4 linked regions of the Caenorhabditis elegans genome follow. The protein of the gene in region 2 purifies or fractionates together with the protein of the main gene of each other region. This does not show direct contact. Each region holds a gene or a part of one and is shown on either strand. Other genes may lie near its edges. The genes, in order: C01G10.10, glb-12, let-630 and C01B10.11.

Region 1 (8,107 bases), on a different chromosome or scaffold from region 2:
AATTTTGAAGACACGGAAAAAAGGGAAAATCAATGTAAATCCCGCTGGGAACTACAGTACTTTTTCAGGGCGCAAACATTTTTAAGCCCGTGATGCTTTTCTCGAAAAAACAAGAAATGTATAACTTATTCCAAAAACTAATCCCAAGCAACACCATACTTAACACTCTCACTGACACCCACATTTTTTTCATTTTCAATCGCTCCCTGTTACCCAAAATATATTCAGCACTGCAATTCAACACTCTTTTCATTTCAGATCTTCAAGAGCTCTCCTATTCGAAATTGGTGACACTATGCGCGGAAATGGAGCAGCTGATTCGGGTTTATAATGAGAGTTTGGTCGATGAGCTGGCACATCGGTTGGTTTTCGGGAAATTTTGGAACTAAAACTGGAATTCGGTTTTTTTGTTTCAGAGATGAGCTGGACTACGAAAAAGAGATGAAAAACTCGTTTATTTCACTATTACTGGCGATTCAAAACAAGCGACGAGTTTACGCTAATGATCGGAAACGGAAGGTCGGAAAGGCGTCGGATGCTTCACAATTGCCACAATATTTGACAGCGACAATTCCGTACAACGATCATCAACATATCGATAATGCGTCGATTGCGTCTCTAATCAAAAGTGAGAAGATGAAAAGAGATATAAATAAATATCTAATTGACAAAGAATATCAGCTGTGTGTTGATTGATTAGTGAGAAAAAGAAGAGATATTTGCATAAGAGATACAGAATTTTAATATGTTTTTCTCGGGATTATGTCCCCTTGTTAGAAGTGGAATAGGGTCGGTGGGGATTTTTAAAGGATTTTCCATGAAAATCAAGACTTTTTTTTCGGTTTTTCGTTTCTCCGATTTTTCGAAAAACAAAAATAGCCCCCAATTTAGCTAATTTTTCATATTTTTAAAAGAAAATTATATGTTTTTCCTCATCACCATAAAAAAAAATTGATTTTAAAAATTGAATTTTATTCTTAATTTTCGAATTTTTTTTCTCGATTTTTTGTACCTGAAATTAATCGAAAAAATTTTTAATTTCGCGAATTTGCGTCAAAAATATTGTACAAAAAATACTGTCTCGAGACGAAAATTGTTGTTAAATGCGAAAAGGTGAGGATTACTGTAGTTTCAAACATTTTAATCGCGATTGTTTAAAGTTGTTCTCAAGATTTTGCTAAATTGTTTTATTTATATAGTTATGGAGTAAAAAAAAAAGATGAAAAATCGAAAAAACCTGAAGCTACAGTAATCTTTAAAGGCGCACGCCTGTTTGTATTTAACAAAAATTGTCGTGCCGAGACCTGGTACCGTATAATTGTGCTAATTTCGCGTCTGGGTAATATTGCAAAATGGAAATTGAGAAACCGGAAAATTTTAAAATAAATTCTCTCTCAATATCCCTTTGAAAAACCGGAAAAAAGTTATAAACAAATTTAAACAAAATCTGCTAACTTTTTGCCAAAATTTCTCAAAAATTGAACAAAAAGTCATTGAAAATTGAAAATAAATGGTTTTTTTCAGTTCTCCGCGCAATCCACGATGACAATACGACAGTACCCACCCTGCTGACAGACTACATTTTAACACATGTCTGTCCAAAAAATATATCGTGTTAGCCATTGCCACCCTTCGCCATTCCATACTAGTCATTTTCCCCCATCTACTTGTTCTTCTTCTTCTTTCTATTCTACAATTTAAAAGTTTTCCGTTCTGTTTTTGAAAATTGTGTGATACAGCTTTAAAAAAAAATAGTCCAAAAAAAATCGTATTCTCTCTCTCCACAGCTGCTTTCCAAAAAACCCCCTTCTCTTTCCTTTCCATGTTAATTCAAAAAGCTTCTTGACTCTCTGAAAACCCAATGAATGACACAAATTCTAGTTGTGCCCCCCTCCCAATTGCACCTGCCAACAAAAAGTCCATACTCAAATTCTCTACAATCCCGGAATCTCTCTCTCTCTCTACTGATGATCATTAATGTTTTTGCTTGTGCTTCTTTTCTTGTTCTTATTTCGTTTTTTTCTACAAACACAGTCATATAAAATTATGTGCATTTTTTATTAGAAAATTTTCTTCATTCAGTTGTTTTAGGGCTTTTAGGCTTCTTAAAATCATCCAGATTCCGGAATCGTATCCGCTCGGTGCCATGGATCGTGGATGTCACCAGTTTCCGACGCGGTGTATCAATGATTTCCGAAGAAGCATCCGTCCCAATATCGCTTCTAGCGTGTGCATAAATTGTGTCAGGAATGTCATTCGGTCGCCACCAAATTGCCTCCGATCTGCAAGAATTCGAATAGTTAATTATAGAGTTGGTGGGGGCTAAAGGACCGATTGACGAGCATCAGAAGGCCACTGTAGGCGATCATTTCGGCATTGTCTGTGCAAAGGGACAAGAGGACTTTGATGGTTGTGACATTGTGAGCAGCTGATAGTTTTGAGATTGCTGAAATATTAAAGTTTTAGCTTTTTCTGATACTTCTATTAAAAAAAAACCTCCAAAAATGTACTGATTCGCCGCCACTCCGCCGCCGATCACCAGCTGTTTTGGAAGTTTTTCCTGCTCGGAGAGACTTTCGAAGAAGATGTGAAGTTTGCTCGAGATATGTCGGGCTACGGTGTTCTGAAATAATTTTTTATAGAAAAAAAAACGTTCGTCGAAACTGTCGAAACTCCTAATAAATGCTCTAATAATGTCGATTTAGGAAAAGTAAGAGTTATTTTTGAAACAAATAATTTAACCGTTTTTTTTTTAACCAGAATTTGGATTTTTTTAATTAAAAAAAAAGGATTTTTTGATTTATTTTTAAGAAAAATCTTTTTTTTTTGGTTTTTTGAAAATATGAGATTTTTGGTTCGTTTTATTGCAAAAACGATTTTTTGGAAACATCGATTTTCCGTTTTTTTAGATAAATTATTTTTTTCGGATTTATTTTTTGAAACACTAATTTTTTGAGATTCTCTGATAGTTTTAGTGAAAAAATTACAGAGACAGAAATTATAGAAAATAACTCAAAAAACATTGAAAAGTATTCAAAAGGCTTGAACAATGATTTTAAAAAATCGAAAAAAAGTTTTTTTTTCAATTTTTTATAGGCTTTAATTTTTTGATTTTTTTGGTGGTTTCTGTATAATTTAAAGATTTTTTTCTGATAGAAAACTGCATTTTAGAATAAGTTTTTTTTTTTTTGGAAAAAGCGTCAAAAACAATTTCGAAGTCTCTTCTTGGTTCTTCACACACCTGAAGGCTAGCACAAAAATCTGGAATATCAATTGATGTTTCAGAGTTTTTTCTCAATCTTTCCAGCAAATTCAGATAGGATCCTTTGATTTGATCGAAGTTCATATTAGCTTTTGGAACGTTTGGAAGAAATATGGGATATCTCAAATGGCCATCAGCAGAGGCTCTAGAGGCTAGAATTTCCACCGCAGCGCCCACATGAATCCCATCGAATTCTGATCCAAGATCTCCAAGCTGCCGCGCAACTTTGTCAATGCACTCGCCCGGGCTTCCACTGACACTTTGGCCTGAAAATTTTGAAAAATTTATAGTATTTTATGTTTTGAGAGAAGTTTAAAAATAAAATTTCGTGCCATGTAGCGACAATGAGTAATAAGTTTTTTTTTCAAATATTTCAATCCTCATACCGTACAATTTGAATTTCTCGACATCTTCTGCAACAGAAATCAATGCATGACCACCCGAAAGAAGAACTGCTGAAAATGGAAATCGCACTGAATCATCGACGAGAAGAATTGACAGAGCATGGGCTCTCATATGATGAACTGGAATCAGTGGAAGACGATGTTTTCTGAACAGGAAAAATCAATATTCGAAAATTTTAAATATTCATAGTATCATACTTTGCAAATCCAATCGCCGCTGAAATTCCCTCTTTAAGTGCAATAACTAATCCAGGCGTTACTGTAACCGCTACTGCATCCAGATCTTTCGGTGATGTTCCAGCGTCGTTCAGACACTTTTCTATAAGCCTTGGAAGGTTCTCACGGTGCTGGAAATATTTCATTTCAAGTAAATTCTGAAGAAGAATCCTACTTGAAGTGCGCAGACTGAAGGATTAATCCCGCCTTGTTGTCTCTGAATCGCCCGTTCTGTGTACCGCTCTGAAGATAAAATCTCTCGTTTCTCGTTGACAATTGCTACTGCAGTATCGTCACAACTGAAAATTTAATGATTTTAATTTTTTGAACTCTATTGCTTATATATTCCTTACCTTGTTTCAATTCCTAGCACTTTAACGGAGTAATTTCGACAAAAAATTCGCTTTAAAACTAAATTGTTGTTCAGAATTTTCGGAATATTCATTTTAGATGGAGAAATTGAATAAAAAACCTTAATAAAAAATATTCTCTGCAATTGTCTAGGAGGAGTACACGGTTGTCGGATTCTAGGCCGCATGCGCAGAAGTTAGGCCATTCGGCGTTAAAACCGTAACCACGAAGAAGATTTAAATAAATCTCATCAATAAATTGACTTGAGAATATAGCAATGAAACATTGACAATATTTCCATAAATAAATACATCCTCTTCCACAACTTTTCGACTTGTGCTCACGTTTTGCTCACTTCCAGTCTACACTTTCGCTTATCTTATCATCTGGAAAACGCTGCACAGACAATTTGCGCTCTGCAATTCATTTAGCTCTAGGTATCTGCTGCTATTTTACGACAATGACCTCAAAAATCAATAAAATTGTAAACGGGCCTATTCCTGATTCATTTTTATTCGACGAGTCGAAAAGATTGGATTCTCTGAAGTTTGATGGAACCAATTTGGAAGTCCTTGGTAAGTTCAGAAATATCATCTTATAAAGCATAGTTCTAGTAAAATAAAATCCAGATCAACTCCTACTTCCACATGAATTCAAGTACATCCCGGTTGAAGGTGTCTCTGACGCTTTTGCAGTTATAAAATCAATGCAAGTACGCGGAGCTCCACTTATTGCAGTTGTCGGAAGTCTCGGACTGCTCCTGGAAATCCAAAAGGCTTCTGAGCTTGATTCTGAAAGTATTATTCAGAAAATTAATTTTTTGATAAGCTCAAGACCAACTGCAGTTGATTTGAGAAATTCTTTGAACGGCTTGAAACCAATTTTAGAGTCTCAAGACTATTCGGATGTGGTTAAGCTTGAGAAGTGAGTTTTAAATTTCAAAAATAATTCCAAATAATCGCAATTAATTCTCCAACAGATGCCGCAGTTATCTTCTCAACGTGTATACGGATGAAAAGCTTCAAAATAGAATTCTCGTCTGGAACGCTTATCAAGAGCTTCTCTCGGCATTCCCTGACAAGGAGAAGCTTACGGTAATGACGATCTGCAACACAGGAAGCTTGGCTACAATATCCTGGGGTACTGCTCTCGGAGTCATTCGGGCTCTTCATTCTGAAAACCGTCTGAAATTGGTTTACGTTTTGGAGACGAGACCCTATAATCAAGGAATTAGGTTGACTTCCATAGAGCTTCTTCATGGTGAGGTGCCGTTCAAGGTAATGCTAAATACTGATTATCTTTTAAAAATCCAGATTTTCTAGCTGATCACTGATTCAATGGCAGCATGGGCAATGAAGAATCACCAGGTGGATTGTGTGCTCACCGGAGCCGATAATGTTGCAAGAAACGGCGATACGGCTAACAAAATCGGAACCTATATGCTTGCTGTCCTCTGCAAACATCACAACATCAACTTCTATCCGGTTGTTCCATTCACGACGATCAATAAGAATATTGCAACCGGGGAGGAGATTAAAATTGAAGAACGACCATCTGCAGAGATGCTTCGAGTAAATGGAGTTTTAATCGGAAATTCTGAATGTCCGGTTTGGAATCCAGCATTTGATGTCACGCCGGCGCATCTCATCACGAAAATTTTGACGGATTTCGGAAACTGGCCGCCTGAAATGCTCGAGCAGCAGATTCCTAAATAATTTTGTTTGTTTTTGAACAGAATCTGTTGAATTTATGAAAATATTATCACTAAATTTAGAACACAAACACAGATTGATATAAAATAAATAAATTGAGAAAGCGGTTTAGAAGATCGGAGAACATCAAAAACAGGAGATTTGCAATTTTTCATTTTTTCACATTCGCTGGCTGAATCCGAAAGTACGACCAATGCTTGAAAGGTAGTAACGATCGAGTCCTTGTTGAGTTTCTTCAGCGAGATGAGTTGGAACATCTTTAGCGATGATTTTGATATCCGTTCCAGATCCCTAGAATTTATTATAATAGAAGGTTTATCCTCGTTTGTTCTAAAACTTACAGTATCTTTCAACTGGAAATGGATGGTTGCATGATGATTGTTTGGATACTTTTTCAGTCGCCATTTCTTCACAATCTCCTTGTTCGGCTCAATCTTCTCGAATGTTCCAGTCACGTTTTCCCCGAACAATGCAAATGATCCTCCTTCCTTGAAATTCCACTCTCCGATCGAATTGTTTGTCCATCCACGAACGAATTGAGTCTCTGTGAGCGCCTCGAAAACTCTATCCGGTGTGGCCTTGTAGGTATCGGAAGTTGAAACCTCTTTGGTGGAGAACACTTCATTTCCAGAAGTGGAAGCGTCCTTTTCCGCGACAACAGTGTTTTGGAACTGACGTTTGTCAACGACTGAAGTCTTTCCAGTAGTAACGACTTGTGGCTTCACTTTATCAGTTGGCAGAATGAGACCCTTGCTGAATTCTTCCTTCAATTCACGGATATAGATTCCCATAACATCTTGAATCTTTGCAATGAACGATTTGTTAAGAACTTGGCGGATTTGATGAGCCATTGGGCCATTTCCACTCAATGACGAATTCACATCCACTTCGGATGCATCGTTCTCATCACTCAAGTTTGGGATATCGAAAGTTCCTTTATATTCGTCTTCACTGCCAGAAACACGAGCAATGAATGTTCCTTCGATAACCCATTCAAAAAGGAAGATGAGCTTAGCCTTCCGGTTGTTTGCCGTTGCTTCTCCGTCGATCTTTTTGATCTCATCGATTGTCACGACAATTGGGCCATCCTGAAAACGAATACTCTTAATACGATCTTGTTCAACTATTAATTATACCTCGGACGAAAATCCGGTGAGAAGTTCACGGAGTCGGTTCAAAGACCACGGGGTTGCATTCTTCTCCGACCTAAAACATACTTATTCAGCTCAAAGCTATGACTTCAATCGAGACCCACCAATGCCAATTGTTTACGTTTGTTGCATCGGCTCGTTCTTCAACAATCCAGCGTGGATCTCCTTCTCCCCACTTGGCCATTTAAATTCCCTGAAATTAATTTAAGTCAGTTTATCGAGATTTTTAAGGTGAACATCAAGCCAGATTAAGTCGTTTTGTACTTAAAACAATGGAATTTCAATTTAAAACTTGAAAATAAATATTTAACGTTGAAATCAAAACAAGAAATCTTTGAAATTTCGTTGAAAACAGGAGAAACTCAATTAATTTCGAGAAAATTCATGAAAAATGGAAGAAACTAGGCCAGCAGGCCACGACCGCTTATCAATAGGGCGAGCTTGCATTGCAATTTTTGTGTGGATTTACGCACGTAATTGGTTATTTATTTTTGTTTTTTTTTTTCAGATTTTACGTTACACATTTTTTTAAAATAAATTAATTTTTTCAATTTCAGAAAAATGCTTCCTAAAACGATAATTAGGCACATCTCACAGTTTGCCGGAGTTCGGGACGCAGCAAAGTATGTTCCAAGACGTGCACTTCTATACGTTCCAGCCAGCAATCAAAAAATGCTGGATAAAGTTCCAATGATGCAAGCGGATTCAGTAGTTTTGGAGCTAGAAGATGGCGTTGCTCTGACGGCTAAAGCTGATGCTAGAGTTCGAGTACGTGAAAAGTAATTGGAAATTTGTCTACAATTTGAGTTTTCAGGCTGCGGCGGCTCTTGATAAACTGCCATATCACACATTGGCATGCCAGGAGCTTGGTCTACGTGTCAATTCTGTAAGCAGTGGTCTTCTCGAAGATGATATCATTGTAAGATTTATTTTTGAATTTTTCAAACTTTATCCTCACGAATTTTTTAATTTCAGGCAGTATCGAAAGCTGAAAAGTTGCCACAAGCATTT
Region 2 (7,339 bases):
TTTGAATTTCAGCATCTGAATCCTCGTCAACTTCATCACCACGTCGCGCCGAAAAAGCACCTGTTCCACTGCCGGATTATGAAGGGCATAGTTTGATCAAAGTGCGAAAACCGTTGTCACCAACCGACAAAGATGTACTGGAACCGAATATGAAAGTTTCAATACAATTGGAAACATTTGAACTTGTTCCCGGATCAAGTCTGACTCCATTGACAAGAGAAGAGACGACGTTTTTCGTTGATTGGGTATTTTTGGATTTTACGAATGAGCAGTCGAAGAGTACGATATTTGATTTTCCGAGAAGACCACAAGAAATGGTGGATATTCGATATACAAAAGGTATTAGTTTTTTGAGATTTTTTATGGGAAGTATAAAATACTTATCTGCTTGATATCTATGGCCCCAGTTCAATTCAAAGGTATTGAAACAATTCTTTAAGCAGAAATATAGAACATTCAATTTTAAATATTTTAGCACTTACATTTTTGTGACAATTTTTTGAGATATGAACGTCTAAAGTTGGAGGACCTAGTTTTTGAACATGGTGCATCAAGAGCTCAACTTCAAGAGCTCATATCTCAGAGCTTGACTGAAACATTATTAATTTTTTTAATGTTCATTGAAATGTGGCGATTCAGAGGATGAAAAAATAAAATTCAAAAATTCTTCTAAAATGTTTGGTTTTTTTTTTGAAGTACGTTTAGAAAATAACTTAAATGCCACTCTCTAAAGTTAACCCCGATAATCTCAATTATTCAGAATACACCCTGACGCGTGGTCAACTTTCTCTTCTCGATCAATGGATCCGTGCTAGCATCAAATTTGAGTTAACCATCATCAAGATCAGTCCAGGCGACGAAGAGGAGCTCGGCTTCGGAAGTTTGATTTTAGTGCCAAACAACACACAGAACAAATCGTTTGTAATTGATGGTTAGTCATTTGTCGTAAGTATCTCATTCTTATAATTGAATTCAAATTCAGTTTACGATCGGAGTGGAATTGTGCAAGCCGAGATGACATTGACATTGCATTTCTCAAGAGCATTAATTGAACAATTGACCTGAGAAAATTGAAAAATACGGTTTAAATAATTTGTTAGATTATATTTTCAACAAATTAATAAATATTTTGGTTAAAAAAAAACTTGTTCAGTATCGTGAATTGTGGTTGCTGGAGAGCAAACTAAGCAATATTCTATACTCTTTTTTAACATCGTTTGAAAAATTGGTGAAAAATGAAATTTGCATTTTCAAACTTGACGTCCTACTTACAGCACAAAAAACGCTTAGGTAACTATCATATCTTGGCAAAATAATTACGATTTTAAAATGTTGCCGACGGAAAAATGTATTTTGAATTTTTAGTGATTTGTTAGTTGACTTTTTTTGAATCCTCTTACCGAAATGGAATAGATCCTCAAGAGGATAAAACCTCATATACATAAACTCGAAAAATAATCGGCCTATAACGTAATTGGCTCTGACTTTCAATTCACATAAAAATGTATCTAAACCTAATTCAGCAATGCTATTTTGTCTCCAAAATTGCATGTCTTTGTGTGACGCAATAGCAAAAAAAGCTTAGCTCATTTTTGTGCATTAAATGTGCTACAAAATCAAAAAAAAATCATTTATTCAATAAATTTAATCAGTTTTATTTATCAGTGTTTTTTCAGTGTCAATATGTTTTATATGGTATATCACTATAAAAATATACTTTCAGAATGGATCTTCGAACATTTGCTCTTGAGCTTTTGGTTCATTTGAAACTGCCGTATTTTCAATCTCGCTTTGTTTTTCCTGAAAATGCCAATATCAAATTAACAAATGTATGATATCAACTAATAACATACCGCCACCCTCTTCTTCTTCCTTTCCGAAATCTCGATATGTTGATGTGGAGCCAAGGCTTTTGTTGTTTGTGCACTCTTCTGTTTTGCTCTTTCCAATTCAAATGAGTCAGTCATTTGACTAATTACTGTGTTTAAGAACTTCTTCCAGACGTCTGTGATTTGAGATGTGGTGTAGTTTTGAGCAAATCGCACTTTTTTGTTCTCTTTTCCTTCTGATGATGGAAGCTCCTAAAATCATATTTGTTGGGTGAAAAGGTTTTTTGTTTTACGAGGGGAGATTATGAACTTTTTTAGAAAAAAAAACCAATTTAATTTAAACAATCTTATTTCGAATAGGTATCTACAAGAATTTATAGGAAGAGGATCACAAAGAACTAAAAAATCCGATCTGAAGTAACATTTAAAAATACTTATTTGAAAATATTATTCTAATTTTTTGAAAAAACCCGCAACTATTTTGCCCAACTGGATCAAAAATTGCACCTTTTTTAAAAAGAAAAACAAACATTTTTTTGAAAACAGCTCAAGTAATTTCCTCGCTCACAAACATCCTAATCTACGTTCGGGAAAATTTTCAAAATGCTTCTCGACCGCAAAATTTCTTTTTCGAATTATATAGATTTTTTCAGAAATCAAGCTCAATTAATTCCTTTATTAGAAAATAATTTGATTGAGTTGTACTCCAAATAAACCTTCCAACAAATCAATTAGTTGAACTTTCAAACTAGCTTGACCTAACTGATCCCACAATCTCACCTGTTCACCCGTCAGAAATGGAATTAATCGCTCGATAAATACATTTATAACAATTTCGAAATAGTTCTTCTCCATCTGGTTCTGATTTTGTTCCAAGAAACTGAAAAATCATCAAATGGCATTGGACTATATAATCATACAAAGTGACGGCATTTGCACCTGCGCACTTACCCTTGTCTGACATGACTTCTTCCCGTTTTTCGTACCAATTGCCATGCACCCGTCAGATTTTCAGACGTGCCAAGCATTGACGTGAGCTGGAATAATAAATTTGAGTTCAAAAAATACTCTTAAAAATGTAGTTTAGACAGCTAACCTGCTCCATGAACTCATAGAATCTTAGAATATGCCCTCCGAATTTCGGCATTTTCAGCATCGCGGCTCGCGGAGCCCGATCCACGCCAAACACTTTCTTGAGGTCCGGTTCAATATCATTGACAATATCTAAGAATATAAGACCAACAATATCCTTCGGATCATCTAGCCTTTGCCAAGTTTCACGTAACAGAGTACGGTCTTTTTTATTGAGGGCTAAGTCAAATGGATTTTCAGATTCGTTTCCGACCCAAGATGCTCCGACTTGCTGGAAAATAATTTTTTAAAATGTTCTGTGCGTCTTTAAAGAGTACTGTAGTTCTCTATTCTTATGTACTGTTTTTTTGAAAAGAATGTAAAAAATCCAAAAATTTTTGAGAAATGTTCATCTTCCGAATCAAGCTCAAAACTCACGGTTTTTTTCTTTTTCGGTGCACATAATGTGGCACCCATTGAAAATATATAGATTTATAACGATACTTGTTTTATTAAAAATCTTAAGCACAACTTCTCATCACCTCAATCAGGAAATGTTCTGAAAATTTGAAATTGAAAGACTCTGAAAAAGGAGAAGGAGTGAGTAAACATGAAGAAGACAAATTGAATAAGCCTCAATTATGACGTGGCAATGGAATGATGATTGGATTTTTTGTGTGTTGAAGTAGTCATAAAACGGAAGACGGCTGATTTTTTATGGGATGACGGGGAACAGAGCAACATAAATTCGCGTTCACAAGGCTGAAAACTAATTTGAATTTTGGCTTAAATTGTGGAAATGGCCAGTTAGATCTTGGAAATCAAATAAATCCTAACTGAAAATTTAGCCATATTCATTGTGGAAAAAATTAGATTTTTTAGGGTTAATAATTTTGTTTTGAAAAGATCTCAAACTTTTCCTATGACCCAAAGCATAATAAAAAACTGTAGATTTTGAGAAATCTTTTAAATCTAATTTGCCTTGTTTAAAATGCTTCCAAGCAGTATAATTTTTGTGGGGACCTATTAAAATGAGCTTTTTTGAAAATCCTAATTTTCGATGAAACATTTAAAAAAATCGAAACTTTTCCTTGTCAGCTTAACACTTAAATTTGTCAAAATCTGAGACTAGACTTGAGTTTTCTCGGGGATCTTTTCCGAAAGAAAAGACGCATATCAAAAATCAGTGTTCTTCTTCCCAAAAACTTATAGAAAGTATGAATATAACCAAATGATTGCTTTAAAAAAGTGAGAAGAAGGCAGAAGAGGGAAAAATACGAAGAAGTGGGATAAACAAAGTGACAAAAAACTGCGAAATTATAGTAGAGAGTTCTGACAAGAAATAATAAGGGAAGAGAAGGAAGTAGGTGAACTATTGGTTTTTCGAATGTTAATGTTATAAATGTATTTATACGTAGGCTGTTTTATTACTTGTTAGAAGCTTGAACTCAAGATCCGGCGGGAAAAGTGTAACAGGTGCACGTAAAAGTTCAGTGGATCAAAGATTTCTGGAACGGGACAAAATTTGTGGAGTTTGAATTCAAGTTATTTTGGAACATAGTTTGCTGGTGGGGCAGATTTATAAACGGCAGTAGCAATTCATGGTCTACCGGCTTCCTAGTTTCTGGTTATTTTCTCAAATTTTTGATTTTTGCCCATTTAATTTTTTTAAACATTTTCACTTCAAATTTTGTTAAACCACGGTATTTTAAGTCCACAATTGAATTTTTAAAGAATTTATCAGAAATGTTGGTTAATCTCCAAAATCGTTCTCCGCTCTCAAAAACCAAAGTGGACGTTTGCCTCCAAAAAAATGGAGAAAAAATGAAATTGCGATTTTTGGGTTGAAATTTATATTTTTTAAAAGCTGAGAACATGTTATACACGAATACTATGTCCATTTTGACACCCAGAATATCTGAAAATATCTAAAAATTGAAGCATGAATATTTTCAGAAATTTCCAGTTAATTTGTAAAAATCGGAAATATTAAAACTGCAGATTTCATGAACAAAAATAGTCTGAAATTTGTATAGAAAACAATTCAATCTTTCAAATTCAAGCACCCGCATTGCAGAAAATAATCAATTCTCATGCTCAACTAGATAGTTTTGCTATAGTTTTTGATCAGAAATTTGATTGTTTTCACTTTGCTTGCCGCTCTCCAAATTCCAAAAGTTCTGACTTCCAAGAAAAATTGAAAAAGAAAAAAAAAGAGAAATATTTAATTTTCCAGGAATTTTTTTTGTTGATTTTTTGAAAACGAGAATTGAAACAAGTATGGAAGAAAAATAGGCATAATCTTACTTGAAACTCAAAAATTTTCCTCTAGGTTACACCTAATTAAAACCTGTTCCTTCTGATATAACAGAAACCTTAACAAAACGTGAAAAAGTGGTGAAAAAAACATGGAAATGAGTGTGTTGTGTTAGGTAGCAGGCAGCTACTGCTCGCGAGCAAGAGCTCTCGACCCGAATAATAATTATAAATCACATTTTCTCCTTACTCGCCATTTTCGGTAGAAAATATATAAGGAATGGTGAAATGTAATAAGGGAGAAGTGAGTGTGTAGGTAGGAAGGAAAAGTGATCTTGGTTCTTTCTGGAGTTGGGGGGGGGGGGGGTGGGTTTTCAGGTAATGAAAGTTTATGTACCTGCTTGGAAAACCAGGCTTTTATACTACTGGGTTTCAGTAAGGTTACTGTAGAAACGATTAGAAACGCGGCAAACGATTTTTTCCGGCAAATCGGCAAATTGGCAAGAATTAAAATTTCCGGCAAGTCGACAAACCGGCAATTTGTCGATTTGCCTAATTTGTCAACAAACAAATTTACCAAACGGCAATTGCCGCCGGCCCTTGTCCAATAGCCGTTGAACTTCAAAATGTTTCTAAGTATTAAAAACAAAACTCTTTAGGATCACTATAATAAACACTACCTATAAACACTACCTAGCCAAGCATTACAACTTGAATATTAGTTTCAGAATACACTGAATTTTGAATCAGAAGTCCTTACTAGACGGTTCCTCAGAGATTTCCGATTAAGCTGTGATTCACATTAGTATTACAATTCAAGTATGCAAAGTTTTGATACTCTTGTTATTACTCAGAAAAATAAGAGAGGAAGCATTCATTTCCATCGGAATTTACCCGGAAACCGTAGGTGTCTGGAGTCTGGAAATTGAGTTGACAGAAAGTATTGTCACTAAAGTTTTAGTACCTTCCCGTGAGTGTAATTAATAAAACGAAATTGCATTATATTTTTCAATTGAGAGTACTTGGAACGGATGTGATCTGGGGGAGAATGAGCAGAAAACATGCCCCGCAATTTTGAATTGCAATAAAATATGCAGTTTCCGATCAATAAAACATCAATGATTTTTTAATTTCAAAAACGCGGAACAAAAATATGGAATTAACCTTTTGAATTTGAATTCCAAAAAAAAATCCGAAACTTTGTGTGAAGATCACATGGGGATTATTTCTAATCTTGATCTCAGGGATCCCCATTTGAAAATTTATAACGAAAGAAAAAAGTCGCTGCTAACCCGAATGAGGATTACAAGCACTTGCATTTGAATAGGTACAATTAAAGTATAAGAAGAAAAAGTGAGCTCTGAGCTCTCATTCTGAGTGTGCTCCGTTTCGGTCGGCTGAACTCATGAACATGGAAATTTGCTGATATTTTTTTTGGTTGAGCAACAGTGAGCAAGCGACAAAGGTGAGTCAACGCTCAAGTAGCTAATTGAGTTTTTAATCAGTGTCACGGGTTAGAGCAACAGAGAGAGAGAGTGAAAACGTTGGAGAACAGGTGGAATTCATTTTCCGATATTTTTCAGCTTTTATGTGGTAAGTTGAGTTAGGATAAGGTGATCAGGTATTGAAGTGAGTAAAATAATCAAAGAACTTTTTTTGACATGGAAGAGGGAATGGTTGTTGGAAGTTTTTTTTATCCCAAAACTGTTTAATATTTTCAGAAGTTTTTTTTAACTTTTAGTCATCCGCATTTTTCCGAAAATGTTTTGAATTTTAAGCCTAAAATTATAAGTTTTCAATTATCAAAAATAATTGGAAAATGTGAAGGTGTGGTGATCACTTATAACAGCAGATTAGATACAAACTCTGGCTTGGAATGTTTGAAAGAAGGATTTTGAATTGCAACCATTATAAAAATGAAAACATTGAAATTATAGAAAAGAGCTTAAAATAAGAATAGATTTAAATTTCCAATAATTTTGTGAAAAGTCTTCAACACTTTGCCCAGTTATTTTTACTGTAAGGGAGATTCTAAAGTACTGCCAAGAAGTTGCGAATTTCACTATTCGTTTTTTTTTGAATTTATCAGGGTACTGTATAAAACTGTCAGAAGCTTTTAGACGATAAATTTTGGTAAGAAGTTGCAAAAGTAGTTGCAACCAAATATTGAGATAAACCCGAGT
Region 3 (7,821 bases), on a different chromosome or scaffold from region 2:
TCTCAAACGATTGCACGATCGTATCGAAACATTTAATGAGAAGAGTCTCTCCGAAATCGCTGAACTCTTTTCCATCTGAAAATAAAAATTGAATTAACATTTAAAAGAAAGACGTACGAAGAGATCTATCACCAATTCCGTCCATTAACTTTCCGAGACAATGGTAGATACTTCTAGAATGAGATGGATGCAGGCAATAATCACGAAAAGTTCCTTGCAAAGTGTTCACAAGATCTGATTTTGTATCGTCATCGATTTTCTTGATATTGTTCTCAATGACGTGGATCATGTATTGCACGAGATTTGATTCTCGAGACAAGTCAACTCTGCTGAACGTCTCAATCGCAAAATCAACGTTCTGTTCAAACTGAACACACAACTGCGAGAACACCATCCATGCGCCATCCAGTTTCTCACTGCCACTAATAATGTGCTGCTTCATCGAATCCATTACTGTGCGCTTGACGAGTTTTTCACGAACTGCATCTTTCAATGTGCTCATGAGGTATTGACGGTGATTGGTGACAGATTCAATTGTATCTAACAGCGTCCATGTGAGATCCGATGAGTTTTCGAGTAAGGGAGTGAGAACTTTCTGGAAATTGGAAACAAATTAAGCTTCTATTATAAATAATTAAGCCCATACCATAATCAACTTTCTGGCATGTTCAGTGACGTCATTATCTGTATCATTCAGCATCGAGATCAAGGTGTGAAGCCATTTTGAACTGAGACTTTCTCTGAAAATAAAATTTGTTTTAAATTTCGTCAAAGATTACAATTACTTGAAAAGGATTGCATCTCGTAACATAAGTTCTGTAAACGCATCGGCTCCAGTTTTTCTGACTGAAACCATTCTGTCTCGACATAACATTTGAAGAATTGAAAGCACAACTTCAAATTTCGATGCTTCGTCGCAATATGATAGATATGATTTGAGAAGCGAGCACGCAGCCTTCTTGACCGGAGCCTTGTCGTCAGTTGATAGTCGGCGCACGATCATATAAACTATATCCTTTTCAACGCGTGTCTCTCCCTTGTTCATCAGTTTCAACTTATTGAACTTTTGAATGATTTGCTGCTCGTCGAGAAGTAGATCCGTTGGCTTTTTTGTTTTACTACTTGGTGCTTTACCAGAAACATTTAAATCTTCAAGACTTTCACTCAGGTTGTCGCCCACTGCGCCGAACTTTTCATCCATTTCCGCATTTATTGTTGCGCAGAACAATTGGAAAGCTTCTCGATGCGATTGAGACTGAAGGATTTTCGTCAAACTATTGGCTCCGTGAAGTCGCATAGCTGCAGCTTTATCCAAACAAGCCATGTAAACGATGTTATACAGAACAGACATTGCATCCATTCGACCAACTTCTTTAACTTCCTTCGCCTTCTTTTCTTTCTTCTTCTCTTCTTTCTTTTTAGAAACATTCTCCTCGTTATCGCCATCATTCTCTTCGTCTGATTTATCCGACTGTTCTTCCTCTTTGACTGCAACATCATCCTGCTCGTTTTCTTCCTCCTCTTCTTCATCTTCCCCTTCCTCCTCCTCATCCTCTTCTTCATTCTGCTCTGCGTCCAAGTTTGGAATAGCTCCTGGGTCAGGTGCGGTGAAGTCAAAACTGCTGATGAGAATACTCGAGAGCTCTGTAGACAAGGATTTTACTCCGGCTCCGCGGCCTTTGAACAAGACATTCATGAACTGGACAAAATCATAGGTATATGTGTATGGAAGAGCTTCGAGAATCTTGTGGATAAACGTGGCGATATTTGTTCGAAACTCGGCTAGATCTGGACATTGTGAATACACCATCACAGTAACCTAAAATTTAAAAATAAGTTAATAAAATATTTCGAAGAAACTGCTCACTGTCTGAATATACTTCAACTCTCTTGCTTCGGGATTTCTTGAAATTCGTGATAGAATTAAATTGACATGTAATTCACCAGATCTCTTTCTCTCCGTTGAAATCTTTGAAGATTTATTGCTTTCATCTGGATATGGCATCAGCGCAAGGCGAGGGCGAATAAGTCTTCCGTAAGCCTAAATTTGTACTAACCTTATTAATTTGTTTTGTAATTTTTTTAATTTTAATCCCACCACTTCTGCTCTTGTTTTATACTTGCTTTCTACTAAAGAATGCACAAATGCACAGTATCGATCCGTAAATCGCTCCAACGATCGGAACTCGTGGACTGAATTCGCTCGAATCGCTCTTCCTGCGGTTCGATTGTCAAGATCTAAACGGCCGATGTCTTCCACGACTTCTAGTGTGCTCATGAGTGTTGGTGTATCAATACTGAAGGTGTTGCTATGCAGAAAAGCAAATAACTGGGTTGTGAGATGATGCAGGTATCGCTCAGCCGAATCGACAGCAATTCGAGGGGGACCAATTATAGGATCTGCTGCTCCCGTTGTTACAGTCATTTCTCCATCCACATTTGTTTCGTCTGACTTTCCACCCGCTTTCTTTTTCTTTGCTCCACTTGATTTTTTTGTAACGACAGTCTCTCCTATCCTAACTGTATGACAACAGTTTCGAATAATTTTCAGACATTGCTGAAAAAATAACATTGATTATATGACATGTAATAAACCCGTATACTTACATTGTATAAACCAATTTGATAAAGATCTGAGATTGCTCCAGGCAATGAGCACATAGCAATATAACTACTGGCAGCAGAAACTCCTTTATCAACATCCTCTTCCGAACTGTCAGATCTCTGTCCGTTTTCGAGAAAATACCAGACGAATAGATTAAACTTCATTGTCGCCACATCACTTTCTTCAAAAATATTCCGAATATCGCATTTCTTTCCCGAGATTACAACGCTTTCGGCAAGTTTCTTTACTGAAAATAACAATTTTGAATAGTGAAGCTAACAAAATTCTCAACATACGCTCTTTCAGAACTCCACTCAGATCTTGCTCGAAAAAAGTCAGGTCAACAGAATTTGTGAATTCTTCATAATCTTCATAATTGCATTCTGCTGAAGAAGTTGCAACGGCATCGTCAATATCGTTGAGAGACCGGAGATTTGACTCAAGAAACTCCGATAAATCTTTTTCGTTGATATTCGACATTGAATCTAAAATAAAAAATGAATCATTTCAATAAGGGTAATTTAAAACGTTAAAAATAAATATTTAGGAAAAAAAATTAGGATCTCTGTTTGAATTTACCGCGTTGAGATTTTTAGGCCACGGCCATTGTGTTTCTAGGCCATGGTGCAAACACGGCGCGCAATACTGCGGACAAAACATTTTAACACCCGATTTTTTTTTTTGGTTCTTACTTAGGCTTTTTACGTTTTGAGTGTTTTTCATCTTTCTTTGCTTAACTTAATATTTTTTAGGCAATGATCGGCCGCATGGGACTTGGCAGAGTTATAACTCGCAGTTTATCGTCGGTTGAGCCTGCATTATCTCAAAAATTGACAATACAGCCAGCAATCGAGGTTGACTATTTTTAAAAATTCATACTTGAACTTCTATATTTCCAGAGATCTCCAACAGATTTGTTAAATGCCTTGTCAGAAACCGTTGGCCCGGACACAACTGCTCCACATTTTGCCTACATTGACGATCCAATTACCATTCCTTCCACGCAGTCAACGAAAAAGACCTATTTTATGGCGAAGGTAAAATTTTTGCCGGAATATTAGAATAAGTTTGATAATTTTAGGAGTTTGGCAAAAGAGCTGCACGAGAACTAGCTACAGAATGGCCAACCCTCTTCGCTTTTGACAGAGATCAACCTCAGCTCCCGGTTTTCCGTCCTCGACATCTAGCAGATCCCCTTCAAGTTGAACCGACAGAGAATAACCTGCTTAAAATGATTTCAAGTCGAGAAGTAAAAGACTCGTGTATTTTGTATGAACGCATGCGATCAGAGAACGTTGACGTTAGCGAGAAAGTCCAGCTGGAACTATTCCGTCTTGTAACCTATTACAATTCGTCAAACGTACCTTTCGCAGAATGGGAGGAGTTTGTTGGAATGCGCAATTTTGGAGAAGATTCTACATCCTCATGGAAATCGGGTGCAGTCGCTGATCTTCTTTTCGAAACTCTCCCAAAAACTGATGAAACCGTTTCTATAATGATTGCTGGTCTATGCAAGTTTTCTGATCATTCTAGTTTGGAAAGAGCTAGAGAATTGTACAAGGAGCATCGAGCTGCAAAAGGAAAAGTTTACCGAGAAGCGTTCAATGGATTAATTGGCGCTTCAAGCTACAGTGTCGGGAAGAAATTGGTAGCTGAAATGATTTCCCTCAGAATGACACCCGATATTTTCACGTTCAATGCATTACTGTCGTCTGCTGCAAAAGCTGGAAAGTTTGAAGATCGTGTGAAGGCGTTCACTGAAATTATTGGAGAAATGAAAGAGATTGGAGTTGAACCAGCACTGTCATCTTTTCATTTAATTATCAAAAACATCATAGATTTTAAATTATTGGATAATGAAAAACGAGAGAGTGACGAGCAAAAGAAGACCTATAATCACCAGCTCACCGTGGCTATATCTTGGCTCAATGAAATTCAGAATAGCCTTACTGGAAAAACTCTCAAGCCGATTACATCCACTTGTAATCTTTTCTTCGTCGAAGCAATGGGAATCCATTACAGAGCTGCAAATGAGAACCTCGCAGAAAATCTTGTTTCAATTTATGAATCCAAAGCAAACGAAGTAAAGATGCCAGCATTCACAATTGAATCAATGTTCTATAATAGACAATTACAATTGGCTGTGGAACAAAGTGCTTCACTGAACAGAATTTATGATTTGTACACCACCATGGTACCACGACTTGTTGGAGTCAACAATTATCTGTCATCACTAGTTTTTCGAAAACTCGCTGCATCCTCCGATCGTCATTGGCCACTGTTACGGAGAGTAATCATCGACGGTATTGCAGCTGGACAGATGAATGGAGTTATTGGAGAAGAAATGCGCAAACAGTTGTGTAATGTACAACTACATGTAAGTTTTATTTCCAAATATCTTGTGTTTTTTACAAGTTTTTTTCAGACATTGGGAACTAGTGAACGGGAGCAATTCACATCTCTTGTCCAAAAATTGGTTGCAGTTTGGGTTGAGTTCAGCCAATTCACAGAAGAGAGAATGAGAAGGCTCCAAAGGAAACTGTCGCCTAGCCAGGTTTTAATATTATTTTTCAAACCATAAGTCGTATATTTCTCAAATTTTGCAGATCTCAGAATGTGCTTTGCTCTTGACCAGAATCGGAGAACAGCAGAAAGCTTACGAACTGTTAGATCTACTGCTTGATGAAACTGCAAGCAGTGGGGACGAAGCGACTGTTTATCCACGTGGACATGCTAGGCCATGGGCAATGGCAGAATTGTTCGAAGATGCTCTTAGAAAACGTGATACATATGCTGCAGCGACTTGCCTGCAAATTATGTCGTTGACCGCCAACCGTGCAAAACTTGAGCCTCTCGCCAATCGCATTTTCGAGAAATGTAATGTGAATCAAGAGCAAGTTCGAATTATTCAAGGATTCATTCGTCTTCGCCCACAATAATTTTATTTCGTTTAGCCTAGGATAGTTGTAAAGTTATTTTGTTTTTGTTTTGTTTTGCTTTCAAAATGTCTCCCATAATAAAACTTATTTAAAAATTTGTTCAACATGTTTTTTTTTCAAAGGTCGTTCAATTTGAAATTAAAGGCGCATCGAGTTTTCATCTGAGTGGGTCTCGCAACGCTGTCTAAGGTATACGGTAGCTATTCGCACTACTTCAAAAAATGTTACCTACTGTCCCAAAATATTCATTTCCGTGCACGATTTTTCAGTATTTCTTGTTGAAATCTTCATATTTTTCAAGTATCTAACAAAAACGTGTTTCAATAGTTCTTTTTTCAAGTTATAAGTTATAAGATTTAGAGAATGCATGTATCCCGAAAAGTTGCATAAACTTATTCAATTTTTTTCCAACACGTTATTCGTAAATTTTAAGATATTGTTCATAATGCAATCGTTCTCCGATTTCAGGTAGTATTCACTAACAACATTCACAATGCCTGCTACACCGGTTCCACCGGTAACAATGCCACCAGTGCCACCAGTTGGTTTTCCACCGGTCACCGCTCCGCCAGGACTTCATCCACCACCACCAGTCCCACCGGTTCCGGTTCCGACTCTTCCTGTCACCTCGGAACACAAAACTGCTCACGATGCGTGTATTAAGCGACTCGAACAGCTTGAGGTGAGATCGGTTCTCGTTATTGCTTAGAATAAATATGATATTTTAGATTCCGCCGGATCCGAAGATCTATCCTTCTCCAACCGAACCTGGAACTTTCGGTAGCGTGACTGAAGTCCTGACAAATGTGTTTGGAGTCGAAGTACATAAAACTTCCAACTTTTATCAATACAGTGTGCACATCACTGCTGAACTTTCATCGAAGAAAGAAGTAACTTTCACTAAAAAAGGAAAAGAAGAGTAAGATATTGATGATCGAATTCAAATTTCCTATGCATTCAATTTCAGCTTCATTGTTCATGACCGCCATGAGAAGTGCAGTGCTATTCTGTTCCACGCATTGAACCGCTTTGAGGACTTTTTCAAGTCGTCTGAGAACTGCATCATCTACGATGGACAGAGCATTCTCTTCACCAGCATGAATCTTTTTGAAGGAATTCCAACTGGAAAAATTAAGGTATCGAGATTTTATTTGTACTTTCGATGCATTCCTAATTTCAGACAAAAGTGTTTCAAATTAACGGTGCGGACACCAACTTGAAAGACCTAATGGTGCTGCCGTGTATCAAACTGGAAGTTTTTCCTACCAAGAACCCAGTCGTGAATTTCTCCCTGGAAGATATTGGAAGACGTACATCGGATTCTAACATCGAGTCTGTCAATATGGCTTATAAGCAGATTCTCGATCTCGCTATGAGTCAGTACGCAATTCGCGAAACCTCCAAATGTGTAGTGTTCGAGCACGGAAAGATGTTTTTCATTAATCCATTGCAAGAAGGGTACGCTCCATGCGACATTGTGGAAGTTGGAGATGGGAAACAAATGAAACCGGGTCTCAAGAAAACCCTCCAATTCATTGAGGGTCCATACGGACGTAACCAGAATAACCCATCGATTGTCATTGACGGTTAGTTTTTAGCTCAAAATAGACAAGTATATTTCAATCTTCAGGAATGAAGGTGGCATTCCATATGGAGCAACTCGTTTTCCAAAAATTGTCATCGATCACATCCAATCTGGCTAACGGAATCACTGGATCCGAAAGAGAACGATGTGCAGCTGTCATCAAAGGACTTGACTGTCATTCAAACTATAGAGGACGCACACGTCATCACAAAATTGAAAGCATTCATCACGAAGGAGCCGCAACTGCCAGATTCGAGCTCGAAGGTGGTGGTACTTGTACCGTTGCCACCTACTTCAAGGATAAATATAAGATTCAACTTCGCTATCCGAACGCCAATCTCATCGTTTGTAAGGAAAGAGGAGCTCTCAACTTCTATCCCATGGAGTTGATTACTATCAGTCCAAATCAACGTGTTAGAATCACTCAGCAAACAAGTTCTCAAAGTCAACGAACCACAAAAGAAAGTGCAGTGTTGCCAGACATTCGCCAACGTTTGATCATGACGGGAAAGATTGCAGCGAAGATCACAGCTGAAAACGAGGTGCTCGGTAAAATGGGAGTGACTGTTTGCGATGAGCCTCTTGTGGTGAAAGGGCGAAACCTCCCGGCCATTAGGTTGGCTTCATTTGAAACGGGTGAACATCTCATCAATCCAAGAGATTGCAAATGGCGCCCACAACGCTACAACCGT
Region 4 (8,277 bases), on a different chromosome or scaffold from region 2:
ATATTTACACTTTCAAGTCAACTCTATAAATTTCCGGTGGAAAATATAAGTACAACCAAAGAGGAAATTCAAACAAAAAAATCCGACAAATCATCAAAAAAAAAAAACAAATCTCAGACAATTTTTGAGCCCAGGATCGATTGTCACAACTTAAATAAGACCTTTTTCCTTTTTTAAATATTTATCACTAAATTCCAAAAAAAAAACTGAGAGATCAAGCCACACTTGCTCATTCTGCAGATCTGCTTGTCGGCGATTGGCGCGCACCCCGAGTTCAACATGAAGATTTAATTTGAAAGCATATTAATTAATTTGTACAAAAATCCAATATTGATATGATTGGACTTCATTATGAAATTTGCGCGTCTGTTCACTAGGTTCTTTTCTAAAAATCGCAGCCCCGTTGTAAATTAATTAGACTTTAAAATTCGTTCAACTTATTTCAAACTCTATTTCCGTTTGATTTTTTTTCTAATTAACACTTGACTTTTTTCACTCCACTTAACACAATTTACCGATCTATGATTGCATCGATGTTTTAAAAAAAAGTTCATTCGTCCTCATCGTAAGTTCAATGGTTTAACTTTTGGAATTTCTAAGAGTATAGGAAATTTGGAATCCAAAAAATTATTCGATTTTTCAACTAATGAGATAGATCAAAACATTGTCCATTTTAATTACTAAAACAGTGACCGATCCCGCCCATTTGCCATTTTCTTCATTATCTTACTCCCCTTTTTCTGTTTTTTCACAACAGCCAATTTGAAGAATGTTTCGTATTTTATCATTCAGGTACTAACCAGTTTACTAAACAAGATAGCAAAATTACGATTGTTTTTTTTACGTTAGAAACATTTCTTCCAACTTTTTTATTTTAATGGTTTGTTGGTGTTTTCAAAATTTCAAAAAAATTACCATCAGCAAAAATAAAATGCTGTTTCAAGAAGTTGGCAATTAAGATTGCAAATAATTCGTTCTTAATCGATTAATGCCTCTACAATTTTCAAAAAAAAGGATATTGTTTTTTTTTGCTTTGAACAAAACCTTAGATTTAACACGATTAGATTATTATTTTTATTTATATTAAAAACTATTTCATTGCTGTTTTAATGTTTTTTACTGAAAAATATCATCTCAATTTTTTCACTACTGCAGCTTCAGCATTTATAAAATTTTTTTAAATTTTCCGCTTGGAAAATATGCCTTTAAAACTTTTTTCAGCCAATCACTTGTTGTTGCTGAAAAAGTTGTGTAAACTTTTATTCTGAAACTACTGTACCATGTACACATATGCGTATTTTCTAATTTAAATTTTTATTATTATTGTCACTCTCTCTCCTGGAAATCTTCGAAAAATCCAGTTTTCATTAATATTTTCTTAATATTCATGCCATTCTTATAATGATGCAGACAAATGGATGTCCAAGTACAGAACAGATACAAGGATACACACGAGTCTGACGAACAGTGATAATGCATTGGCCATCCGCCCGCGCGCGCGCATGATGACGCTGTCAGTGATAAACTTGATTATGTCAGAGAGATGATGAGAGAAAATGGAAACATTATTTGACAGAATTGTGGCAAATCTTTCCTCTTCAGTTCTATGTATCTTTCCTGTTCTGTTCGGAAGAAATGAGTAATTGGGAAGGGCCAGGATATGTGTGATTTGAGGATGAAACTTTGATTTTATGGCTTGACTGTTCGGATTTACAGATTGAAGTTGAAGAAAAATATGTTGTTGAAAACTTTGAATTTTCATGGTTTTTTAGATTTTATTTAAATAAAAAGTTGAGAGTGTGGGATGGTTTTTAAACTTCTCAAACGAAAACTCGATAAATTGATTGAAAAGATCTGCTGAAACCACTTGTTTGAATGCAAAAAACTAAGGTTCTAGAAGGACAAGAATTTACGCGCCAATTCAAACCTTGGAGCATTTTTTCAAACGGTTAACTGAATTTCCCCCTGTTTTTCTTTTACCACGCATTTTAGTTCTTAAATATTAGCTACACTTTTCAGTAATTCCTCCATATTCAATAGTCATAGGATAATTGATGAAACAGTATTCTGGATTTCAAACTCAAAAATGTAAACTTTTCTTAAAAGGGTAATTATTTCGGACATAAAATCGAAAACTTATTGTAGTATTTTTTCCCCGTAAAAAGTAATTATTGTTGATTCACAAACATAATTACCCAATTATATTGCATTTTGGTAGATTTACTAAAGGTTTTCAATTTAACAAGTATGTGACAATTGCCGGGAAATCGTCATAATCTTGTGAAAATAAATGTTTTAAAGTAAAAGACGCTTTTGTTTTTACAAAACCTAACCAAAATTTGAACAAAATTGAAAATCCAGTAAAAATATTTTTCACTGTTTCAACAAAATTTGACATATTTGAGTAATAAGATTTTTTAATTTAGTACCGCTTCCCACAAATTTATATACATTTTCATTATTCTTTATCTTCAACTCCCTCAATTATTTCCCCAAGTTACCGCAATGACCTTGATGAAAACCCTATGGGGGGTCGGCTAATCCTCCATCCTAAAACCTCCCTCAATTATTTTTACCGTCCCATGCTTTGCAACCTTCTTTGCAATCTCTAGAATTTTATATGTTTCTTTTTGCAACTTTTCATTGCCAGACTTTTGGCTGTCGTTTATAAACTAAAAAATTGAAGCATTTATTTCCAAGAATTCTTTTGAGAAAGACGGGATCTTCGGGGAACTCAGACATTCAGGCATCGCACACCATTTTGTTTTCAAAATTTTTGGATTGATATCACTTTAAAAGGCTAATATTGATCTAAAATGGGCCGGAAAATTCATGAAAAACAGTTTTAAAATTATTAAAATATCCAAAACTGTGGTTCAAACTGAGGAAACTTTTTCAATATTTACTGTTTCAATGCTTCAATTTTTAATGCAAGTAGTGAAAACGATTAATAAACTGCAGTTTTATGAGTCTATTTATTTTCTCACAATAGATTTTCAATCCTCAGATAAAATTATATTTGAATCATCGATTTGGATAAAAGATAAATGATAAAAATGCAAGAAATGAACTTCTAAGAGTTCAACCAGAACTCCCAACCTATCGCCTATCTACTTCCATCCAAATTCCAAAAAATGCCGCCCAAATTTGCCGTACTTTTGTCCAATTCAGTCTCTTCACTTTTCAATTTCATCAATTCATCAATTCTATCGGGAACCTTGAGAACATTCTCGAGATCCCGCCCATATCCCTCCTATGTCTATTATGTTATCCGGTTATCTCTTTGCCTTCACTGTCTTCAGATTGTCACTTTCTTCTTTCATTTTATCACCTTTTTCCATGTAGATTCGGAGATAGTGTACACATTTGAAATTGCAACGAATTATGTACTTTGTACACGTAAACCTGAATTTCAAACTTCAATGTGCGAATCTTGTAAAAAAAATTTAATGTTTCATATCGTCTATTTGTTAAACTCACTTTTTCGTGATAATATTGTTTCTTCAATACAGTTAATTTAGTAATACTTAATATTTCAGTCTATTTAACTTTCGTAATGTCCGTTGAAATTGCCCAGCTCAACAAATTGGACACAACCAAGCTTCCAGAAGCCAGTGTTGCATTTGTCAAGAACGGATCAGGTATGCCCTTGTTTTAACCTTCTAACAAGGCCACCTTCAGAAGAACACTTTGAACTGAAAACACTGTGATCATAAACTTTTCAGATAATTTTTCATTAAAAAATGTGTTTAAATATTTATCTACTAATGTTTGAGTAAGTAAAAACCAAAAAAACTTCCTGAATAAGATGACATGTGTTTAAAAATATAATTTCCCAAGTTTTTGATTATTGAACACATTTCTAATCGAATTCTTGAATTAAAAAAAACTTTTTTTGAAATAAGAACTAGCAACGGTTTAGAATCTGAACAGTTCAAACTCATTGGCTACAAACATCTCAATTATATAGCAGAATCTTGACACTATTCTTACTAAATTTAAATTTTACAGGAAAAACTCTTGCTCGTGAGACAATCATCAAATACACACCATCACTTGCCTACGCAGTTGTTCAGGAGTTGGACTCTACGATTCTGGGAAAAGATATTATTGTTGAGAAGAAACCAGATGATGCTCTTCAACTCAAGCTTATCACAATTGAGGTGATATATTTCCAATTTTAAAATTAGTTTTTCTTAAATAAAAAAAAAGTCTAAAAAAATATGCTGTTTCAACATGTTGCTAAATAAAAAGAGATATATTCTTCAGCAATAAGCACAATAAGTCATGTGATTGAAATGTATTTTTAAAAGATGTTTCTAATATTTATTTCATATTCAGACAGTAAAAGAGAACCGTCGCCTTCTTCCAATTGCTCAACAATTCCACACAGTTCCAGATGGAAGACATGCTGAATGTCATTTGACTGATATCCTTTCAACACATTCTCTTGGAACCTACAACTTGGATCTTAAGAAAAATGTGACAATTGACTCTTTTGAGGTAACTTTTTTCTATTTAAAATGGTTGTAAATTATTAATTTTTTCTAGCTGACTGATTCATGGAGAGACGACGCTGGATTCATTGTCACTGACAGAAATGTGTACATTCAGGGAACTTATGATGTTTCCAAGTTGCTTCCAACTCTTATTCCTTCCACTCGTAAGCCTATAAAATATTCTGAAACTTTATTCTTGGAAATTTTAATTGAAAAAAAACTAATTAGTTTGTTTAAGCAAGTAATTAAAAAAAAAAAACTGTAATATTTGAGCTTCATTTGAGCTTCAATTTTTCAACAAAAAAAGTTAGAACGAAGTGATTTGGCCACACCTACTTTTATACTTTTTTGGTTTTTCTTTTTCACTATGACTTCTTTAATTGAATTTTTAAAAATCCAAATATGTAAATTCGTTAAAAATTGTGAAAAAAACGGTAGTTTAAAATCAAATCAGTATTTTCTAATTGTAAGTTTTTTTATGAAATTTTAATACGTTAAAAATAAATAGAAACATTGCGGTTCATTTTTCAAACCATCAAACCCCTTGAGGCGTTGAGTTGTGCCTGCCTTGTAGGTACGTAGGTAGGCATTTTTCTGATTTAATTACAAGATTTCAAACTATTCCTTTTCTAGAAAAAATGATCTCATACACGAAAACCGACTTCGATTCGGTCGCCGACTTTGACTCGACAGTCTGTGGATTTCCACGTGATGCTTATCTAACTCTTCTCCTCTCTTCATCTTCAACTATTCTTCTTGCGAAATCTTCCGGTTCTGTCGATGGAATTATCATTGGAAATGGAGCTGATCGAATCAATTTGATCTATGCTGAAACTATCGAAATCGCCCACGCACTTTTGAAATGCTATGTGGAGAAGACGAAAACCAAGCAAGTGACTCTATTCACTGTTCAGGGAATTTGGGAATGTGAGCCAACAAAGAAACGGGCAGTACATAGAAGACATACACGAGCTGTGCCATCTCTTATCAAATGGGCTAAAGTGAGTTTTTTTCTTAGGCTTGTCTTGAAAAATTTGTTTTTTAAAATGTACTTTAATTTAGTTTTAAAATGAATACTTATTGTCAGTGAATAAAAAGTGTTTGGAAAAAATTTCAGTTTCTGATTTATATTCTACTCAATTCTTGATATGGAACAAGTTTTTTGCAAGTTTCAAACTGATTTTAAAATCATTGCATTTTTTTGAAGCTTGAAAAATAAAAAACGAAATTTTTCAATTTTGATTTTTTAAAATATTTATTATTTTCAGATCTACGCGTTGAACATGGGTGTCCACATTGTCTAATTATACAATTTTCTACTAAATGTCATTAATTTCTTAAAAGTTCTATCTGTATTTGTCAATTACCCGCCCTTTTCTCCTTCCCCCTCCACTCACATATCCCACGAATTACCAAAGTTTAACTGTCCTCGTTCTAAAATGTTTCGATACTAAAATGTTTGAAAACCTTTTTTTTTCAATAAATGTCTTCCTGAAACTTTTGGTTTGAAAATCTAAATTTTGGATCTCAATGGTTGATCTCTTATCCATAAAACGGTAAGAGATCACACACCGAGTCAATTCAGAAATGTCTGCCAGAATTTACCAACATTGTGAAAAAGTCAAATTTTCTAATTGAAAAACATATTTTAAAAATTAACAGAAAAGTTAATTTTGTCACTCAAAAATCAATATTATTCACTTTTGAACCTATTGCCTGATCTCTTATCCATTATTTGGTAGGAGATCAACCAACAGGTTGCAATTGAATATCGTCACCAGATTATATGGACAATTGAAACTGCATAAATTTTTAATGAGATCCTTGAAGTCTTTCTTCACTTTTTCCAGTCACAGACACTTTTGCACCTTTTTTTGTAAAAAGTAGAGCGGTTTCTCTTCCAATTCCAAAAGAAGAACTGGTGAAAAAACAAAACGCCCGACCATGATGGGAACATAAATTAAAAGCAGTGTAAAATTTTGTGATTTAATTTTACAAATATTAAGGACTTATACTAAAAATATGATGACAAATTTAGAAATGGAAACGAAATTAAAGTTAGAAACTAATCCAAAATGACTCATTTTTGTCAGTATATATACTTACGAGAGACGTAGACAACTCGGCATTTCGTGTCTAATTTTTCCCACCTTTTTGCCAAACCTTGAGAGAACGAGTATACATAACTCTGTGTACGAAATTGAAGTGGAGTGGGAAAATGCCGGAAATGCTGAAACTCATATTTTATTCGAAAAAATTCAAAAAAAGCAAATAATAAAGCATTGATTTAAAATATCATTCAATCAATCCATTGAAAAGCTCCGAGTTTGGATACCATGATGCATGTTCCTCATCGTAATTGTTCACAGCATCTGCCAGCGCCTTCAATCCGGGAACTTTAAAAACATCCATGGCATGGTTCCGTAGCTTTGTGTAGTCCGAATCTTCAAAGCTGGTGGACGCTGTAATTTCAAATTAAACTGTTGAGGGAATGAAAATTAGGAAAGTGACTAGTTGGGTTTTGTGAAAACAAAAACTTCTAGTTTTTGATTTTTTAATTTTGTCTCTAATTTTGTAATATAAAAAAATATATGGTAAAAATACGAAGCTTACTATTAGAAGCGAGCTCTAGCGGGTTGAGCTTTTTTCAGTAATTTAATACAAAAAGTTGTTCAGTTTTCTCTCCGTCTTTGAAAATAGGCAAACCTTTATTATCGGAGCTACATTCACTTTTGCCATAATCGATAATTTTTAAAAGAACTCCAGACGTTTTCAGTTTGACTGCTTTTCCTTCCAGGATGTACGCGACAGTCCTCAACTTCGTTTTCGTGACGATGGTGTTGTCCACGGACAAATCACCATGTGAAAATCCGAGTTCTTTTTGTGCAGTCATCAGCCCGACAACCAATTGACAAACGAATGATTTCCTTTCATTATCAGTTTTAAATGGGAAATCGCCGATTGATCTTCCTCCTTCAACCAATTCCATAAAAATCGCCACGAATTGGGCCTTTTCCTGAAATATATTTTGTACTACACTCAAAATAATAAAACTGCGTGGCGTGTACGTCCAAACATGCCCGCCTTTTTTTTCGGAAGTCACGGCGGCAAAAATCGGGACCCAACCAATATCAGGCCGCCGACATGTTACGAGTTCCGCACTATATTTTCCTTGCAGCGGGCGGGACAATTTGCGACGACCACAGGCAATTAAACACAGTGACGCTCGGAGTCCGTAATATGTCGGCGGCCTGATATTGGTTGGAATCCCGATGTTGACATTAAAAAACGGAAAACGAATAAAAAACGCCGTGCCTAACTTTTGACCTGCCTATATTTGATTAATTTATTTCGAGTCTGGTGATTGAAATAAAATTATAATTGGACTTACTGGGAGCGGGTGGCCGTTCTTGTTTTTGAACTGGAGCTTGGGGTCAGTTTTGGAGTGACCCTCGACCAAATAGGCTCCCAAAAATTCAAGAAACGAGGGGTTTTTCTTGCGAAAAACAGCCGACCCGACCTTCTTCATGACTGTGATTTCATCTTTGGCAGTATCGGCGGAGATTTCGCCCGGCACATGGAGCACTTTCATAGCGGCTCTTCTGCCATTCCATCTCACTTTGAAAATTGTGCCATGATTCCCTTGCCCAAGCTTCTCTACCTTTCCTGTGAGTAGGGATTCCCACGAATGGATTCTCTTGCTGCTGGTGGTTTTACGCAAAGAATTCAGGTGAGCACGTCGTAGGTTTGCTGTAAAATGATCTTATACTAGAATATA

Evidence for each region.
Region 1: the proteins of glb-12 (region 2) and C01G10.10 fractionate together in Caenorhabditis elegans (co-fractionation; one large-scale study listed by BioGRID). This does not show direct contact.
Region 3: the proteins of glb-12 (region 2) and let-630 fractionate together in Caenorhabditis elegans (co-fractionation; one large-scale study listed by BioGRID). This does not show direct contact.
Region 4: the proteins of glb-12 (region 2) and C01B10.11 fractionate together in Caenorhabditis elegans (co-fractionation; one large-scale study listed by BioGRID). This does not show direct contact.

The regions. Positions count from the first base shown.
Region 1 is NC_003283.11:15,078,094-15,086,200, forward strand, and holds C01G10.10 (putative tRNA N6-adenosine threonylcarbamoyltransferase, mitochondrial), read right to left. Parts: upstream 4,349-8,107; 5' UTR 4,328-4,348; coding exon 4,236-4,327; intron 4,182-4,235; coding exon 4,058-4,181; intron 4,014-4,057; coding exon 3,865-4,013; intron 3,813-3,864; coding exon 3,649-3,812; intron 3,529-3,648; coding exon 3,242-3,528; intron 2,624-3,241; coding exon 2,497-2,623; intron 2,447-2,496; coding exon 2,332-2,446; intron 2,283-2,331; coding exon 2,075-2,282; 3' UTR 2,041-2,074; downstream 1-2,040. Other genes in the region: UNC-76, read left to right, coding at 259-361, 417-628, 1,525-1,619; C01G10.9 (Methylthioribose-1-phosphate isomerase), read left to right, coding at 4,694-4,808, 4,863-5,157, 5,213-5,510, 5,556-5,948; ahsa-1 (Activator of Hsp90 ATPase AHSA1-like N-terminal domain-containing protein), read right to left, coding at 6,105-6,236, 6,287-7,033, 7,082-7,151, 7,201-7,280; C01G10.7 (Citramalyl-CoA lyase, mitochondrial), read left to right, coding at 7,658-7,864, 7,911-8,015, 8,072-8,107. UniProt on the Caenorhabditis elegans protein: Required for the formation of a threonylcarbamoyl group on adenosine at position 37 (t(6)A37) in mitochondrial tRNAs that read codons beginning with adenine.
Region 2 is NC_003280.10:10,728,186-10,735,524, forward strand, and holds glb-12 (GLOBIN domain-containing protein), read right to left. Parts: upstream 3,468-7,339; 5' UTR 3,378-3,467; coding exon 3,339-3,377; intron 3,193-3,338; coding exon 2,926-3,192; intron 2,867-2,925; coding exon 2,781-2,866; intron 2,710-2,780; coding exon 2,610-2,709; intron 2,082-2,609; coding exon 1,854-2,081; intron 1,801-1,853; coding exon 1,720-1,800; 3' UTR 1,619-1,719; downstream 1-1,618. Other genes in the region: mks-5 (Protein fantom), read left to right, coding at 13-339, 761-931, 983-1,065.
Region 3 is NC_003279.8:5,160,421-5,168,241, reverse strand, and holds let-630 (Small ribosomal subunit protein mS39), read left to right. Parts: upstream 1-3,357; 5' UTR 3,358-3,360; coding exon 3,361-3,459; intron 3,460-3,504; coding exon 3,505-3,642; intron 3,643-3,686; coding exon 3,687-4,982; intron 4,983-5,030; coding exon 5,031-5,159; intron 5,160-5,211; coding exon 5,212-5,544; 3' UTR 5,545-5,640; downstream 5,641-7,821. Other genes in the region: Condensin-2 complex subunit hcp-6, read right to left, coding at 1-75, 118-595, 647-740, 786-1,819, 1,868-2,041, 2,099-2,557, 2,608-2,852, 2,902-3,085; ppw-2 (Piwi domain-containing protein), read left to right, coding at 6,038-6,226, 6,273-6,463, 6,512-6,680, 6,725-7,130, 7,175-7,821.
Region 4 is NC_003282.8:6,654,442-6,662,718, forward strand, and holds C01B10.11 (DUF7596 domain-containing protein), read left to right. Parts: upstream 1-3,539; 5' UTR 3,540-3,556; coding exon 3,557-3,641; intron 3,642-4,011; coding exon 4,012-4,163; intron 4,164-4,272; exon of another isoform or gene 4,273-4,297; intron 4,298-4,341; coding exon 4,342-4,503; intron 4,504-4,551; coding exon 4,552-4,663; intron 4,664-5,132; coding exon 5,133-5,500; intron 5,501-5,767; coding exon 5,768-5,803; 3' UTR 5,804-5,996; downstream 5,997-8,277. Other genes in the region: Y73B6A.1 (Protein kinase domain-containing protein), read right to left, coding at 6,795-6,961, 7,206-7,515, 7,891-8,249.